4 linked regions of the Macaca fascicularis genome follow. The protein of the gene in region 1 binds, or shares a complex with, the protein of each later gene. Links are inferred from orthologs where the notes say so. Each region holds a gene or a part of one and is shown on either strand. Other genes may lie near its edges.

The links. Proteins that work in one complex are often made in the same cells at the same time.
Region 2: the proteins of YWHAZ (region 1) and PRKCE are in contact, whole or in part, in a crystal structure (PDB 2WH0), measured with the Homo sapiens proteins. The link is inferred for Macaca fascicularis from reciprocal best matches to the Homo sapiens genes YWHAZ and PRKCE. Residues at the interface, in NP_001129171.1 of Homo sapiens: Asn42, Ser45, Val46, Lys49, Arg56, Lys120, Arg127, Tyr128, Gly169, Leu172, Asn173, Val176, Glu180, Leu216, Leu220, Asp223, Asn224, Leu227, Trp228; in NP_005391.1 of Homo sapiens: Lys365, Ala366, Leu367, Ser368, Phe369, Asp370, Asn371, Arg372.
Region 3: the proteins of YWHAZ (region 1) and ITGA4 are in contact, whole or in part, in a crystal structure (PDB 4HKC), measured with the Homo sapiens proteins. The link is inferred for Macaca fascicularis from reciprocal best matches to the Homo sapiens genes YWHAZ and ITGA4. Residues at the interface, in NP_001129171.1 of Homo sapiens: Lys49, Arg56, Lys120, Arg127, Tyr128, Glu131, Gly169, Leu172, Asn173, Val176, Tyr179, Glu180, Ile217, Leu220, Asn224, Leu227, Trp228; in NP_000876.3 of Homo sapiens: Arg1007, Gln1008, Tyr1009, Lys1010, Ser1011, Ile1012, Leu1013.
Region 4: the proteins of YWHAZ (region 1) and MAP3K5 are in contact, whole or in part, in a crystal structure (PDB 6EJL), measured with the Homo sapiens proteins. The link is inferred for Macaca fascicularis from reciprocal best matches to the Homo sapiens genes YWHAZ and MAP3K5. Residues at the interface, in NP_001129171.1 of Homo sapiens: Val46, Lys49, Asn50, Arg56, Lys120, Arg127, Tyr128, Glu131, Gly169, Leu172, Asn173, Val176, Tyr179, Glu180, Ile217, Leu220, Asp223, Asn224, Leu227, Trp228; in NP_005914.1 of Homo sapiens: Ser964, Ile965, Ser966, Leu967, Pro968, Val969.

Annotation. Positions count from the first base shown.
Region 1 is NC_088382.1:110,574,226-110,578,348, forward strand, and holds part of YWHAZ (14-3-3 protein zeta/delta), read right to left. Parts: exon of another isoform or gene 4,002-4,123; intron 2,499-4,001; 5' UTR 2,488-2,498; coding exon 2,194-2,487; intron 1-2,193.
Region 2 is NC_088387.1:76,045,443-76,049,565, reverse strand, and holds part of PRKCE (protein kinase C epsilon type), read left to right. Parts: intron 1-1,767; coding exon 1,768-1,964; intron 1,965-4,123.
Region 3 is NC_088386.1:77,073,542-77,077,664, forward strand, and holds part of ITGA4 (integrin alpha-4), read left to right. Parts: intron 1-1,768; coding exon 1,769-1,876; intron 1,877-2,000; exon of another isoform or gene 2,001-2,417; coding exon of another isoform or gene 2,418-2,431; intron 2,432-2,741; coding exon 2,742-2,867; intron 2,868-3,871; coding exon 3,872-3,991; intron 3,992-4,123. Other genes in the region: CERKL (ceramide kinase-like protein), read right to left, coding at 2,418-2,431. UniProt on the Homo sapiens protein: Integrins alpha-4/beta-1 (VLA-4) and alpha-4/beta-7 are receptors for fibronectin. They recognize one or more domains within the alternatively spliced CS-1 and CS-5 regions of fibronectin. They are also receptors for VCAM1.
Region 4 is NC_088378.1:40,609,834-40,613,846, reverse strand, and holds the end of MAP3K5 (mitogen-activated protein kinase kinase kinase 5), read left to right. Parts: intron 1-1,476; coding exon 1,477-1,553; intron 1,554-2,533; coding exon 2,534-2,594; 3' UTR 2,595-3,306; downstream 3,307-4,013. UniProt on the Homo sapiens protein: Serine/threonine kinase which acts as an essential component of the MAP kinase signal transduction pathway. Plays an important role in the cascades of cellular responses evoked by changes in the environment.

The DNA of each region.
Region 1 (4,123 bases):
CTCTCATTCATCCAAACTTTCAAAGTATAAATACCATAGACTTTTTAAGAAGCCAGTGCTATTCTAGAGGGTAACGATGTGAGTAGGGACCAGAATCAAACTCCTTAATAATCATAACAACAAGAAGCTATTAATATTAAGAGATTATCTTGTCATCCTCATCTACTGGTTCTATGCAAAAAATTTTTCTTGATAAGGAAACCAAAGGGAAGCATAGTCAAAACTGCTACAAGTTGGGCCAGACATGGTGGCTCACCCCTGTAATCCCAGCACTTTGGGAGGCTGAGGTGAGTGGATCACCTGAGGTTGGGAGTTAGACCTGACCTGGTTACCAGCCTGGCCAACAAGGTGAAACCCTATCTCTACTAAAAATACAAAAATTAGCTGGGCGTGGTGGCGCACGCCCTGTAATTCCAACTACTAGGGAGGTCAAGGCAGAAGAATTGCTTGAACACGGGAGGCTGAGGTTGCAGTGAGCTAAGATCATGCCATTGCACTCAAGCCTGGGCAACAAGAGCAAAACTCAGTCTCAAAAGAAACACAAAAAAACAAACCTGCTACAAGTCTTTTCCCAGGAGAAGACTCACAATGACAGGAACTTTTATACTTTGTATATGGAAAACATGCACATACCTACCTGGTATTGCAAATAAGCGTGTTATTAAAAGGTAAATGTCACATTCCTTTTTATTCCTAAAGTTGACTTTTGTCTTAAGGGAAATGTTAACTTGTAACATATCCTTTGAAGCCCAAATAAAAACTTTTTGATCAAGTGTAACACCAGACTGAACAAAACTGAGTTACACTTACACAGATATTAGTAAGGAGAGCAAGGAAAAAAAAAAAAAAAAACCCAATACATTTTTTATTATAGGAAAAAAATCACATTTTCAAAATTTAAATATTCTTACTACCTTAGCAAAATCACAAGATAGGTATTTGTCACTTGGCCTCAATAAAAGCAAGATATTCCTTTTTTCAACTTAGATACAAATAACAGCTATCATTGTAAAGGTTTCAATAAGAACAACAAAAAAAAAGCCCCAAGACAGATGTCTCATTGAGTTTGTGATTGTGAACCCAAATAAGCATGTTTTAAAAAATCACTATTATTTTAAAAGACAGTGTCAAGTATCATTTGAGAAAAATACAGTTTAGGAACTGATGCTATTCCATTAGTAAATACAAGTGTAAAGAAATGATAGCATCATCACAACTGTAACAAAAACCCCAAACCCACAACCACATCAGACATTATCCTATTGCTCATTACAGTACTTCTTCCATATAAATAAGGTTCATATAGTAAGTAACACACCTGGATTTCCATACTGAGTCCCACATTCAGTAACCTGTCCAGAAAAATCGCGATGCTGCTGCCCCTCTTTGTATATCAGAGTCCTGCCATACTGATTAAGTGTAACCATTTAGCAAAATCACTTTAAATATTATTCGAAAAACTGCCAGCTTGGATTTTCTACTAGTTTATCCTCAAATTTAAACTATTCTTGATCAAAAAGCCCTACTTTGTATGACAGATTAAAATTAACCAAAATGTAGTTTAATCATTTTAAGCGCAGTGCTTCAACACAGTAGGTACTGAATACTTAAAATACTCGATTCAAACTGGAAAAATCAAGCTTGAGTTATTCATAACCTTTCATCATGGTTGCGAGTGTTCAAAATTTATTTTCAAGAATTCAATGCAGGAAAGAGGTTTCATAGTCGTGACGCCAGAGTTTTCTGCATGGCTGACTCATTACATTAACATTATAGCGGCTAATCCTGAGAAGAGTACTATTTCTACAATCAGTATCCTATTACATCTCTCTTACATAAAATATGTAAAATTCCTTTATCCATAGATGTACATTTAAGATAACCAGCTATAGAGCTACCACAAATGTTCTAACCATAAGTAAAGCAGTAATACTATTAGTTTATCTTTTCAATAATACTAAAGTGTGTTATTTTTAAAACTGAACTGTTTCATCATCATTATTACAATTACTTTACATACACATATCTATAATTGTCTTAACATCTTTTTAGTTATGACACCATGAAGACTTTTAAATCTGAACACACAATGTTTAGAAGGAAAAGATAAACCGAAGAAAACGTTGAGAGTAATGTAACTGATACTCATAGGAACCTTACAGTATAATGAAGCCAGATTCAATTGATTCTCACCAGTACATCATTGCAGATATCTCTTAGCTCCGTCTCAATTTTCTCTCTGTATTCTCGAGCCATCTGCTGTTTTTTCTCAGCACCTTCCGTCTTTTGTTCAATACTTGAGACGACCCTCCAAGATGACCTACGGGCTCCTACAACATTTTTATAAGCAACTGAGAGAAGATTCCTCTCCTCATTGGATAATTCAGCTCCTTGCTCAGTTACAGACTTCATGCAGGCTGCCATGTCATCATATCGCTCAGCCTGCTCGGCCAGTTTGGCCTTCTGAACCAGCTCATTTTTATCCATGACTGGATGTTCTGCAGGGGGGAAAAAAGGAGTATTTAAAATTTTTCCCATCAAAATAAACAGACTCAAAATTATACCTGTGGTAAATGAGTTTTTTAAACCTGAAATCTAACTGCCTGTGGAAGACTGTTCACATGAAGAATTAAAATGCAGCTTCACAAAAGGATAGTCAGAAAAGGAAAAAAAATTCAGCATACTCAGCATCAGAGGTAAACTTTCAGCCATTAACACATCAGTGTAGCAAAACTAAAATTTGTCCATTAGATACAGATTTCACATGTCAAAATTACTTTCAAAAGCTGCCTCAAAAACTTACCCCAATCTTACTTGACCAAAATCTCAACTCATTTCCAATACCACTAAGTGATCTGAAATTAAGCAGCTTTTCTTCCATAGTAAAAGCATTGTTTACAGAGAACATCTGGATTTCTATCATATTTCCAGAATCATAATTCTTGTCAGTTTAACTCATGTCTTTTTACTTTCATAATACTTTCGTCAGGAGTGATTAAATTTTAGTTTTAGTGTTACCCCCACCCCAAACCTACTAGATCTCTGCAACATTTGCCAGCCAATAATAGCATAACAATTTGGGGGGAGGAATGACCAAACTGTTTGTTTTCAGATATTTTGAGTATAAATCCACCACAAAGGATCAATATCTGACCCTAATGCCTCAACTCCTTATCTTGTTATATGTCCACATGCTTTAAAAATATCCACAAGTCATGGCACTTCAACTCTTACTGTGAGTACTAGAATATATCACGTTGGAAGTACTTGATTTACAAGTGTTTCCAATGTCATTGCTCCAGTTGAAATGTAGAAGTGCTGCATTTTGCGTCTAGCTGTCATACTGTAATTGGATGTTATCACTCAAGCTGTTCTTCACCATGACTATCCACCTAATTCTCTTTCCCTCGCGTTTTAGTTTCCTAGACCTTTTCTATTTACCTCAGCTACATTTTTCTGGAAAGATATCCTTTGGCAAGTTGGCAAACAGCACAAAGATACTAATCCACACAGCGATACCACACCAAAAAAAAAAACGACTTTAGAGAAAAATATACACCCTGAATGAAGTGCACTTTTAAATTAGGTGAACGGAAGAGTTCACCTTGGAAGCTGACTCTCGAATATTAATCATCTTTTGCCTTCCCAGGGAAATCTCACAGTATTTTTTTAACTAAATGAGAACAGGTCCCCACATTTTAAACAAATTACTTAGCCACTTTGGATACAAGGTACTGGCTCAATACGTAAACTATTTAACCTTTATGACGGCATTATTTTCCTCAGGTGTCTAAATTACTAATTTTTCCCTTAGGATCTCAGAAACAGTCTCTGGTTAATTCTGCTTCTAATGAAAAATGATTTAAACCAGTACAAAGGATTCTCTACCCAATCACTTCGGTACAAGAGGAAGTGGATAAGGTTTCTCACACAGTAATGAGTGCTCCAAGGCCTCGCCTCTACACTGCGGGCAGGACTCACCGCACCCATTTAACCCTTACCTGACTTGAGACGTCGACTACGGCGAAACGAAAACCGGCAGACCCGGACTTTAAAGTGAAAATCCTCCGGTCCACTTATCCGCAACCACCCCCCTCCAGGCTCCGCCCAAGTCGGAGCCTCC
Region 2 (4,123 bases), on another chromosome or scaffold:
AAAAAGAGCTTTGGGGTCATGCGCCAGCCATGAGGCCACAAAATAATTGGTCTCAGTCCCTCTTCATGCTACTCCAATTAACTTTCTGTGTCTTTACACTCTACCTCATTCCAAATGAGATTTGAAGCATTCATAAGCAGCCTGACAGTACTCTGGGGCTGCAGAACTTGTAGCTATTTTCCCAGACCAGTTTGGGGGTTTTCACGTGTTCCTTTCTGAGACTGAGATCCCCTTTGGGAGCTTCAGGGAGACAGGGTCATATGGGAAAGAGAGCCCAAGTAAGAGTTCAGAGACCAGGGTTTCTAGGCCTGGCTCCTGCCCCGCATGCTCTCTGGCTCTGAGCTCTGTCATTGGATGGGTACAGTAGCAGGTTGCAGTGCTCCCCAGGGCCTCTGCTCATCCCACTTGACACAGGGGCCAGGATTTCCCAGTAGTGATGTGAGCACAGATGTCCCTCTGAGTGACATTATTACACAACAGAAATCAGACATAGTTTATTTTTCTTCCCTTGTAAGAATAAATAGAAAAACTTTTTCTTCAATCTTTGGTGTCCCTAAACAACTATGTTCTGCCTTCCAAAATTCATTTAATAACTGAGGCTTTTAGCTCTATGGTGAGATTAAAAGTTACTTAGTCAAGCTAAGTGATAGGCAGATAACTGCTGAATTGGCAAGGGGAGGGTCTGCAGACTTAGCAGCTTTCCCCCACTTCACCCTCCCCAACACATCTCAGAGGAGCCAAACTCCAGATCTAGGAAAGATCTCTGGATTCCTTGAGTGAGCCCTTATAGGACTCTGTCCTCCTGAAAAGAAGCTGAAGATCTCTTTCTGTCACTCATGCCTAATTCTGATTCCCAAGGGCTAATAGGCTGTGTTCGCCTTCTGTAATCCGTTATTCACAAGCATCATTTAAAATCGGATTATGCTCAAGACGCCCATTTCCACACAAAAGACTGCGTGTCTTGATGAATGAGTTGCTAACAGTAAAGCTTCTTCAAATAGAAAAGGTCAGAGGATCATCCAGCATTATCTCCCCCAGGTAATTCAAGTCACAAGCTCTAGAGTAGGGCACAAGACTGTCTCATAGTTGAGAAGTTTTACTGAGAAATTCCCGCCCCATTGGAGATAAGTTTGCAACATGTCACTTGGGAAAGCAATTCTGTTGTTAATAATAAGCCCATTGCTCGTTTTGTTAGATAACCTTGTGTGAGATGGGTATTTAGAAGAAACCCGGCAACAAGGCTGAGTAAAGGCTTTTAGAAGGTGTGAAGATTTCCACCTTCAGTGATCAGCCACCATTCTGATGGCTCGGTTATTGAAATAATTATATCACCAATGATTACTGTGATGACAGTTCCTGATTCGTTGTTCTCATCTTCAAAGGAAACTTGAAGGATACCTATGACTCTGCAGAATTCTAGAGAGGGCCCAGATTTGTGTGCTGCACCTAGAACAATGGAATAGGCTACTAGCCAAAGGGGGCTTTCAGAGAGACGGCCAGGTCCAGTGTAATCTGGAGTTTACAAGGGCAGGGAAGGGACTGTGTCCTCCTCCTCTTTGCATACCTAGGCTCTGCTGCGCATTGGGTGCCAACGAGAATATGGTGAACAGATGAGGGAACATACAAAGGGATGCCACACTGGATCTGTTGTTATGAAGAACCAGAAAGAGGACTGAGAGCTTACAGGGGAAAGTCTGAGTGTTGAGTCCTAATGGAACAGCTTATGAGGTATGCACTAATGCAATTTCTTGTTCCCCTTGGCCCTAGAAATAAAAGAACTTGAGAACAACATTCGGAAAGCCTTGTCATTTGACAACCGAGGGGAGGAGCACCGGTCGGCATCATCTCCTGATGGCCAGCTGAGCCCTGGGGAGAATGGCGAAGTCCGGCAAGGCCAGGCCAAGCGCCTGGGCCTGGATGAGTTCAACTTCATCAAGGTGTTGGGCAAAGGCAGCTTTGGCAAGGTCTGTGGCACACATGGGTGGAACTGCTGGTTTTGTTCTACTCCTTAGCGTTGTTTCATCTGTTTGATCTAAGATTGAGAGAGGAACTTTTCAGACTGATCTCGTTAGGTTTTCTTTCCTTCCTTGTAAGTGCAAATGACCTGAGGCCAAGCAGATAGGAACCCTGGTTCTACTATTAATTGGCTATATGAGACTTTCACATAGTGATTTAATCTCTTTGGAATTCAGTTTTTCTCATTTGTTGAATGGGGACAGGAATCAAGTGAGATGGTAAATGAGAAAGCACTTTGGAAAGTTTTAAATGCTCAGTGTTCCAAGTTAATAATAGTATCAATACATGTCTTCCCTGCTTCAGAGATCCAGCTGAAATTCTGTTTTTAATTCATTATGAAGACTTTGAGAATGAATTCCTGCCCTCAGTAAACCTAGGGTTCAAAGCAAATTTAGCATGCATTACTTTGGAAGGTAAATTTTATTTAACTGATCTTTCTGGCATGTAGTAAATGTTTTGTTTATCCTCTATATGTGGCAAGAGAATGGGAATAATCATCTCATGCCTTGGATCAGGGTCCTCTGTCCTTGGTGTCATTCTCCATATCTTGTTCCCCACTGAGATGAATGCAGTGGTGTGGGGTGTGGCGTTTAGTATGCTCAATAAAGCATAAAGGTGGTCAGCCACCATACTGATGGCTAGGTGAAATGAAAAAATTAACCCCTGTTCATTTTAGAAAGAAGATGAAGGGGCAGGAAGCAGAGGAAGCTGTTTGCATTTCACCTGAGATCTCTGATTTTTCCCTGGCTCTATTCAGAGCTGAGCCTGGGAGTCACCTTTCTGGGGCCTCCTGAGAGGTTCTGGGAGGTCCTGCTCTGGGGACCAGGAAGCTCCTGGGATCACATGCCCTGGCATGTCCTGGACTCTTGAAAGCAGCAGCCTGTCAATCAGCTGGTCCATCCCACCTGGTTCCCAGCTGTCTCACCTGCCCCTATCTCACCCTGATATCACTCTGGTGGGAAGGTAACTGGGGTTTACTTAAATGGCAAAAGCTGAAGCAATTACATTCTTTAGAGACTGGCTAAATAAGAAGAGGTCCTCTGGTTAGGCATAATTCTGGGGCGTGAGCAGGATGCAGTCTAATTTTGAGCAAGACTCCAAGATTCTAGGTTTTCATATAGTGTAGGCAGGATGGGAACTTAGATGACTTTGGAGCATTTAGGTTATCTCTTAGGAAAAATCACAGCCAAAGTTTGAGCCAGTTTTAAAGAGTCTGTAAAATATGTGGGTGACAAAAAGTCTTCAGGTTAACATCATGAATTCCCTCATTAAGTTTCTGATGGCTGCTTTTTAGCTTTGATGACTTACATTGGAATACTGTACTTAGGAGTTACTTATTTAAGAAGAGAAAGGCTTGTGACGTTTGTAGGTAAATGAGTGCAAAAATATCAAATGATAGGAACACTTTAAGAAAATAGAACTGTTAATTAGCTCTCTTGAATAGGAATCACGTTTCCAGCTTCAAAGTTATAAAAGAAACTATAAAGGCAAACAAGGACAGATTCAACTACATAAAGATACATGATTCTTTTCAATAGAATAAAATAACAGAAAATCATAAAACAGGCTTAGAAAAACTTTTACAGAAAGTAAAGGGTTAGTATCTTTATATATCATATGTGTATAAATTTGTAAGAAATTAATATGATAGCAGCATAATAAGACAAAAGAGACGGGAGTAATTTACACAAAAAGAAATACAGTCAGAAAACATATTTTTAAGGTTTCATTTTAAGTTAAAATAGCATCACTGTAACATTTCACACCTATTAAGTGAGCAAAAAGACTTTTTAAGTGAAACTACTCAGTGTTGTTAAGTCACCATGAAACTCCAACACTCCTACATTACTAGTGCCACATTGTATCACACATCCTTTTTGAAAATAGGAAATGTGCAAAATGCTTAACCCTTTACCTACTTATGAGAGTTTCCATCTTACAAATGTAATCCAAGAGGAATTGTTTTAATTGTGTACAAAAATACTCAATGCAATTTACATAATACTTAATGATTAGATATAACTTAAGTGTCTAATTTGAGGGAAATGGTTAAATAAATTATGTTTACTTGAATTGAATATAAGCAACCGTGATAATGATGGAGACC
Region 3 (4,123 bases), on another chromosome or scaffold:
TGAAATTTCTTCTTGGTTCAAGCTTATAAAAACCTCAACACTACAAAGTAAAGGAGGCTTTTACCTCCCATCTCCATTTAAGATCACATTGGTCGGCCTTTCAAGCCGTAAGTTTACGACCTGTGACAAGCGCTTTATCAATTATTAAGTAACCTTTTAAAGTAAAGAGTACTATCATAATTCAGAAGTATTCGGAGACTGATGTAAACCTAAGTTAAAAACATTTTTGCTGTCAAACTGATATTTTTGTTGTATCAAAGATATTGGTGATTAGTAATTTCCAAAAAAGAATTCTTTGAACCAAAAGCACTGTCCAAGCATTCTTATAATCTATATATGCGAGTAAATCTTGGATTAGGTATAATATTTTGTAAGACAATGCTTTTCAAAATGTGTATTAGAATCATTTGGGGTACCTATCCAAAATGCAAATTCCTGGGCCCTGCCCCAGATCTGTGGAAAAAGAATGACCTTGAAATCCTGTTGACTCTATGTATATTCCAATTTTTGTTATACTAGTTGATACTAATGTTGAAAAATTTTAGTCCTCCTCCACTTTGAAGTCCTATGAAATGCTCTTTAAAACCCAGTGGGAGTTTGTGCTTTGATAAACTAAAACAGAAACCAAACTGTACTCTAGATGATTTATTAATTTACAATTAATAGTTAAGTATTTGCTACTAAATTTATAATGTAGTGGCTGGGACTAGAGAAACTTGTGGTATATAGGATTTCTGTGTCTAGCCAACTATGTAGATATTCTTAGAGGTTTAATTGTTGTTAGGCAAACAAGATGTTTGTGATTTAGATTGATATTTAATGGCATCGAGAAGACCTTGTCTGTAGTACTGGGCACTGCTAGGTATCTGTTGCTGACATTTCCTTCTGCAACTGCCCTGTTCTTTTATGGATTAGCAATTACCACCTGTTCCCAATCTGGAGACACTTTCTTCATCTTTGTCACGTGTTCATAAAATGACTGCAGGTCTGCAGGTCATTTTTTAATCGAGGTGTTGGGATGCATCTCTTTCTGACTTACTGTATTGGTTTTATAGTTAAGCTGCCAGTTCGGTAGGCTATATTTTGGCCCCATTTCCCTTTTCAGGAATCTTCAATCCCCAGATTTATCATCCTGTTATGCATTTTTTGACAAGTATTGTTAAAAACCTGTTGTGCTTTCTCAAAACCCAACAACATACTTTTTTCTGAATGCATCAGCATATAGATCCTGAATAAAAATACATTTTTATTCACTTTCTCCTGCTGATTATCCTCTCAGCACAGAATGCTTTTGCAATAACATCATAGGATTTAGAATTACAATATCTGAGTTTTGGTCATAACTCTTGTCACTTTTTAACTTTTGTCTTGGGAACTCTAAGAACATCTGTTAGCATTTCCCTTAGCTGGTGAATACCAGAATGTTGGCCCACCTCATGAGAACCAAATATTTTTAAAATATGTAATGTAACATACAAATATATATTGTTTGTCTCCTAAGACTGTTTCTCCAATAAACCATCAGCCTGTACTTTTTGTTTTCAACAATACCAAAACTAGAAGGTTAGATATAATGACTCATTCAAAATTAGCAAACTTTAAAAATTCTGACTATGGATATCTTGTCTACCTTTTTTGTGCAGCTGCCAACTATAAACCTCCACCACTATAAATGTTGCATGGAATATATGGGATCACCTCAAAGTTCATTGATATCTGCACTTACATTTATAGAAAACATTTGTTAAAAATTTTTCCTTCTTACCAGGTTATCAACACTGGCAATAGCATGGCTCCTAATGTTAGTGTGGAAATAATGGTACCAAATTCTTTCAGCCCCCAAACTGATAAGCTGTTCAACATTTTGGATGTCCAGGTAAAAATGTATTTCTTCCACCTGACCTTTATTGTGTGTCTTAAATACTAAAATAAATGCAAACCAATCCTTTATTCAAGTAATAATGCGAAAATGGATAACTGTTTTCAGTCACACTGTAAGCTATGAATTCACCATGCATTTATTGAGTCATGCTTTGAATATTATATATTTCATTACAGCTATAGATTTACAGTGCAACTTTTACATTCGATTTAAATAACAGAACCATATTCTACCATCTCCATTGAATAATTATTTTAAGATACATTTTTGTGTGATATGGACCTACAGAAGTAACTTGATTGGTAGACTTCTTCATAGCACTTGAAACTACTGTGCAAATATGAGGATTATAGCCTTTTTTGAAGGAAGCACTATTCAAACCACTTCTTAAGAACCAATATTCTTTCATTGATGGTTCCATCAGAATTGTTTTGAGCTTGCCAGGTTGAAGACAGAAGTCAACAAATCTAAATACGTTTGAGGTCTGATTTTAAAATCCTACTTAAATTCCGGATTCAGAGAGAAGAATATGGTGTTATATTGTTTCCCCTATAAAGGAAAAGAAATATTTAATATCATGCTAATGTTCCAATATCAATTTTTACATTTCTGCAAGGTTTAAGGCCACGTTATCAGCTTAGAACCTATATCCAACCTTCTATAATTCAGCTGGGTTTTTGTGTTTCTGCCACAGACATTTAGTCACTCCCAAATATGTCAAAAAAAAAATTATACAATTTCAAAGGTACTTGATATATTTTAGCAAAGATAAGCTACTGGAACTTTTAAAACCATGTTGCTTTTTGCTGTTTTTTCCAATGATGAAAGATAAGATTTCTCTTCCTTTCTATCTTCATAGACTACTACTGGAGAATGCCACTTTGAAAATTATCAAAGAGTATGTGCATTAGAGCAGCAAAAGAGTGCAATGCACACCTTGAAAGGCATGTTCCAGTTCTTGTCCAAGACTGATAAGAGGCTATTGGTAAGTTTCCATTTTTCAGGTTGTAGTTGCTGCTTTCCAACAGAGAAGTGAAACACTTAAAATCAAGTCAATGGGTTTGAGCTGTCACTTCAATAAAAGAGAAGCCAAGTTTAGGTAGTATTCTTGCATGGAAGGAACAAGCACGGTTGGAGAGTTGAGAAAGACCTAGGGTCTATCCCATATATAAATATGTTAGCTGGGCATGGTAGCTCATGCCTGTAAGCACTTTGGGAGGCCAAGGTGAGCAGATCACAAGGTCAGGAGTTTGAGACCAGCCTGGACAACAGAGTGAAACCCCGTCTCTACTAAAAATACAAAAATCAGCCAGGTGTGGTGGCAGGTGCCTGTAATCCCAGCTACGTGGGAGGCTGAGGCAGGAGAATTGCTTGAATCCGGGAGGTGGAGGTTGCAGTGAGCCAAGATCATGCCACTGCACTCCAGCCTGGGCGACAGAGCAAGACTCCATGTCAAAAAGAAAAAAAAAGTTATACAGTTTCATTTTTTTATCTAACAAATGCCCACTATTTGCCAACAAAACATTGTTCCAAACCCTTCAGGACACCAAGATGTTGTCTTCACCTGGGCAGCCTTTGTGGCATGGGTTAATTTTCATTCTTTTCAGCTTAGTGAATGTATGAAAAGAAACTGGAGAAGCAGTCATCACCTTGAAATGATCCACGTTTTACAACAAACATAGAATATGTAACTTAGCAAGACTCTGATTAGAACATTTTTTTTAAAAATTCTGTCCCAGAAGATTGTTAATACAAATAGGAACATATGCTCTATTTTAAATACTTTATTATAATTTAGAAAATAAGCATTCATGTCTTGTTTAAAGATAATTTAAATGCCACTGAGGAAAGCAGATGTTAAATTTCATATTTATGGAAAGATGATTTTCAAAATGCCATTAGAGTATATATTAAATTATATATAAAATATTTTTAAAATATTTTCCAGTGTTGAAAATTTTAATGTATCACTTTTATATTCCTTTCAAGTACTGCATAAAAGCTGATCCACATTGTTTAAATTTCCTATGTAATTTCGGGAAAATGGAAAGTGGAAAAGAAGCCAGTGTTCATATCCAGTTGGAAGGCCGACCATCCATTTTAGAAATGGTAAGTCTAGGCCGAGCGCAGTGGCTCAAGCCTGTAATCCCAGCACTTTGGGAGGCCGAGACGGGCGGATCACGAGGTCAGGAGATCGAGACCATCCTGGCTAACACGGTGAAACCCCGTCTCTACTAAAAA
Region 4 (4,013 bases), on another chromosome or scaffold:
CTCAAGTAGCTGGGATTACAGGCATATGCCACCATGCCCAGCTAATTTTTTGTATTTTTAGTAGAAATAGGTTTTCACCATATTGGCCAGGGTGGTCTCAAACTCCTGGCCTCAAGTGATCCACCCACCTCAGCCTCCCAAAGTGCTGAGATTACAAGCGTGAGCCACTGCATCTGGCCCCTATAGACTTTTGTAATGAGCATGAATAGCATTTATGTTCATTATATGAACACACAGGCATACATTGAAAGATTGTAATATTTGATAGAGGGGCCCTCTTAATACAATATTGTTTTAATTTGTTTTATATTTAAATTTTTTAAATAAATAAGAATAAAGATATCTCTTCTTTTGACTTGATAATTTATTAACTAAGAGAATTTTGGGCCGCCTTGGAAATCTACATTTAACAAGTTACAGCTGAATAAATTTAAACAACTCCAGAATATACATTCCTCTAACTTAGGCTCAAATCCCAATTACGGAATAGTAATTGATAATCTACTAAATAATTGCCCTTTCTTATTTGATTTCAAAGCTTCAGGACAGGTGCAGTGGCTCCCGCCTGTTATCCCAACATTTTGGGAAGCATAGGCAGATTGCTTGATGCCAGGTGTTGGAGATGAGGCTGGTCAATATAGTGAGACTTTGTCTCTCTATATATATATAAAAAAAATAAAATTTAAAAATGTAAAGGTGCAGTTCAAATTAAGATTCTGCTTTTATGGTGAATTACAGTCAAGTGCCTTTGCTTAACCATGAAAAAGTAAGTTCAGAAATTAAGCATAGGCAACACCTTTCCAGGAACACTTTTTATCCACTTGAGAAAAAACAAAGCTACATAGCATTGAACTTCTAAATACAAGATTTGTTTTTGAACAGCAGATGTGATTACAAGTGAGTCTCATCTGTTCATTAGAAGACCATTCAGAAGTTCTGTGTCACTTGTAATCTTTTTGCATTTGGAAGTTAATATGGATGCATTTGTATTTTTTTTTTGTATGGAGTCTCACTCTGTCGCCCAGGCTGGAGTACAGTTGTTCAATCTCAGCCCACTGCAACCTCTGCCTCCTGAGTTCAAGTGATTCTCCTGCCTCAGCCTCCCAAGTAGCTGGGATTACAGGCACATGCCACCACGCCCAGCTAATTTTTTGTATTTTTAGTAGAGATGGGGTTTCACCACTTTGGCCAGGCTGGTCTCGAACTCCTGACCTCAGATGATCCGCCTGCCTCAGCCTCCCAAAGTGCTGGGGTTATAGGTGTGAGCCACTGCACCCAGCCTGGATGCATTTATTTGTATTTATTGAGTAATAGGGAGGCCTTTCCCCTAATAATCACAGAAGATTGTGTTTTTAGTAATTTCATTTTTAGATTCATTTTTAATTATAGTCAAGGTTTACATTATAAATAGAGTTTGTGCTTTATTAAAGTTATATAAAACATCTTACTTTTGTGCATATTCTACTTTCTCTACAGTTTTTGGCTGAAGATTATACACTATTGGATGTTCTCTACTATGTTACACGTGATGACTTAAAATGCTTGAGACTAAGGTACCACTTTTCTTTCTGTTGTCACGATAGAAAGAGTACCGGGCTAATATAAGAAAGTCTGAGTACCTGCCCAGGCTGGGTCTCTAATTAGCTTTGCAGTTCTGGACAGAGCTCTCTAGTTCTTAGCTGCTCTGAGTAAACTGAGTTAGTTGGACCATTCTATTTTTGAGGGCTCTAATAACCAATATTTCTATATTAGTAAGTGAAAATCAACTGGAAGAATTTTTTTGAATAATATGCAGACTAAGTCCATGCAGATATTCTGAAGCTGCCTTACACAAATGCTTTAATTGAGTTCATGATGGTGTTATACTCAATAAATATTTGGAGGAGGTGCTGACTTGCCCTCCAAAAGCCTGGTATAATCTGATATAATTTATTATTAATTAAGGCCAAGCATAGAACTTTTTTTTTTTTTCCGAGATGGAGTCTCGCTTTGTCACCCAGGCTGCAATGCAGTGGCGTGATCTTGGCTCACTGCAAGCTCCGCTTCCCAAGTTCACGCCATTCTTCTGCCTCAGCCTCCCGAGTAGCTGAGACTACAGGTGCTCGCCACCATGCCCAGCTAATTTTTTTGTGTTTTCAGTAAAGACAGGGTTTCACCGTGTTAGCCAGGGTGGTCTCAATCTCCTGACCTCATGATCTGCCTGCCTCAGCCTCCCAAAGTGCTGGGATTACAGGTGTGAGCCACCACACCCAGCCCAAGCAGAAAACTATTATACCCACCATTATAAAGACAAATTTCAAAAATGCTGAAAATCTGAAATGATGTTTTGGGACACAGCAGTTTGTGGGAGTGAAAAGAGAAGGAATGGAGGGAAGATGAGAAAATATATACAAAAAGAATACATAATAACTGATCAGACTTTGGGATCTTCTTCTGACCAGAGCAGATGAAAGCTAAGAAGTCACTTTTCTATTTCAAGGGCAGTGTTTCAAATGAAATGTTCTTTTCACCATGTTCTTGTGTCTTTCAACAGGGGAGGGATGCTGTGCACACTGTGGAAGGCCATCATTGACTTTCGAAACAAACAGACTTGACTGTTGCTCAATTTAATCTTCAATGGAAATTCTAAAAATTAATACAGATCTGACCTTCTTGGGGGTGGGAAAATCGAAGGGAGAGGAGAAAGGAGCTGCACTTTAAATCCAGTATTTGTTTACTCACGTTAAAAAAAAAAAAAAACAGACAAAACACACTGAAATTTCCTAACTACATCTATTTCTATAATTTTTAAGGACTCTTCATAAGGACTCTTAAAATAATCCTGAACATTAGAACCCTAACGTTCAGGAAGATTTTAATCTAAGCATTTTTATGGAAATATTTTTAATGCAGCAGCTATTGCACTTCAGCCAAATGTTTATTTCACACAAAACGGATGTAACATTTCATGTGATTGTGCACCACTGGAACAAAACCAAAATGTGACCATAACTTTTTAGGCTTCTGTGTGTTTGTAATATGCTCTAATAATCTGAGTAGAAATGCATAATTTCAATTACTGTATAAAGTTTATGTTTTTTTAAGTGTGCAGAATCTGAGAGCAATGGTTTTTACTTCTCTGTGTTAATTGTAATATTGACTATATTTTGTAACTTAAGTTTCTGACCTGTCGTACATTTGTTTGAGTCGTTTATGTACTACTGAACTGTACCAGTTGCACATGCTTGAACCGTAGTAACGTTAGCTTGTTCTAAAGCTATCCATTGTGTCATATTTACTCTAAAAATTAAAAAGACTCTCAACATACTGTTTTGATAACTTCTAAAGAATTCTTATTTTGTATTGACAAACTAGATAGTCTGCTGTGTTAAATTTCCAGTCGTTTCTCCAGCTATAACATTTAGTAAAATCTGTCTTCTATTCAAGCAGTCAGACAACTGACATCCAGGTTGTTCCTCAGGGGAATGGAGGTTTAAGAAAGGGTAAGCCTGGGCAACAAAGTGAGACCCCATCTCTACAAAAACTCAAACATTCAGCTAGGTGTGGTTGTGCACACCTGTGGTCCTAGCTACATGGGAGGCTGAGGCAGGAGGATCACTTGAGCCCGGGAGGTTGAGATTGCAGTGAGCCATGATTGTGCCATTTCACTCTAGCTTGGGCAACAGAGTAAGACCCTGTCTCAAAAAAAAAAAAAAAAAAAAAAAAAAGAGGGTGAGGAAAAAAAGAATAAAGGGAAGTATATTTTTCTCAAGGCCCCAAGTTATCTTGGATGACTATTGTGTATCTTAAGGCGTCTGCAAAGACCATCTTAATGGAGAATACTACGTATTTATTTATTTATTTGTTTATTTATTTATTTATTGACAGAGTCTTGCTCTGTTGCTCCGGCTGGAGTGCAGTGGCACCATCTCAGCTTACTGCAACCTCCACCTCCCGGGTTCAAGTGATTCTTGTAGGTCAGCCTCCTGAGTAGCTGGGATTATAGGCGTGTACCACTACACCCAGCTAATTTG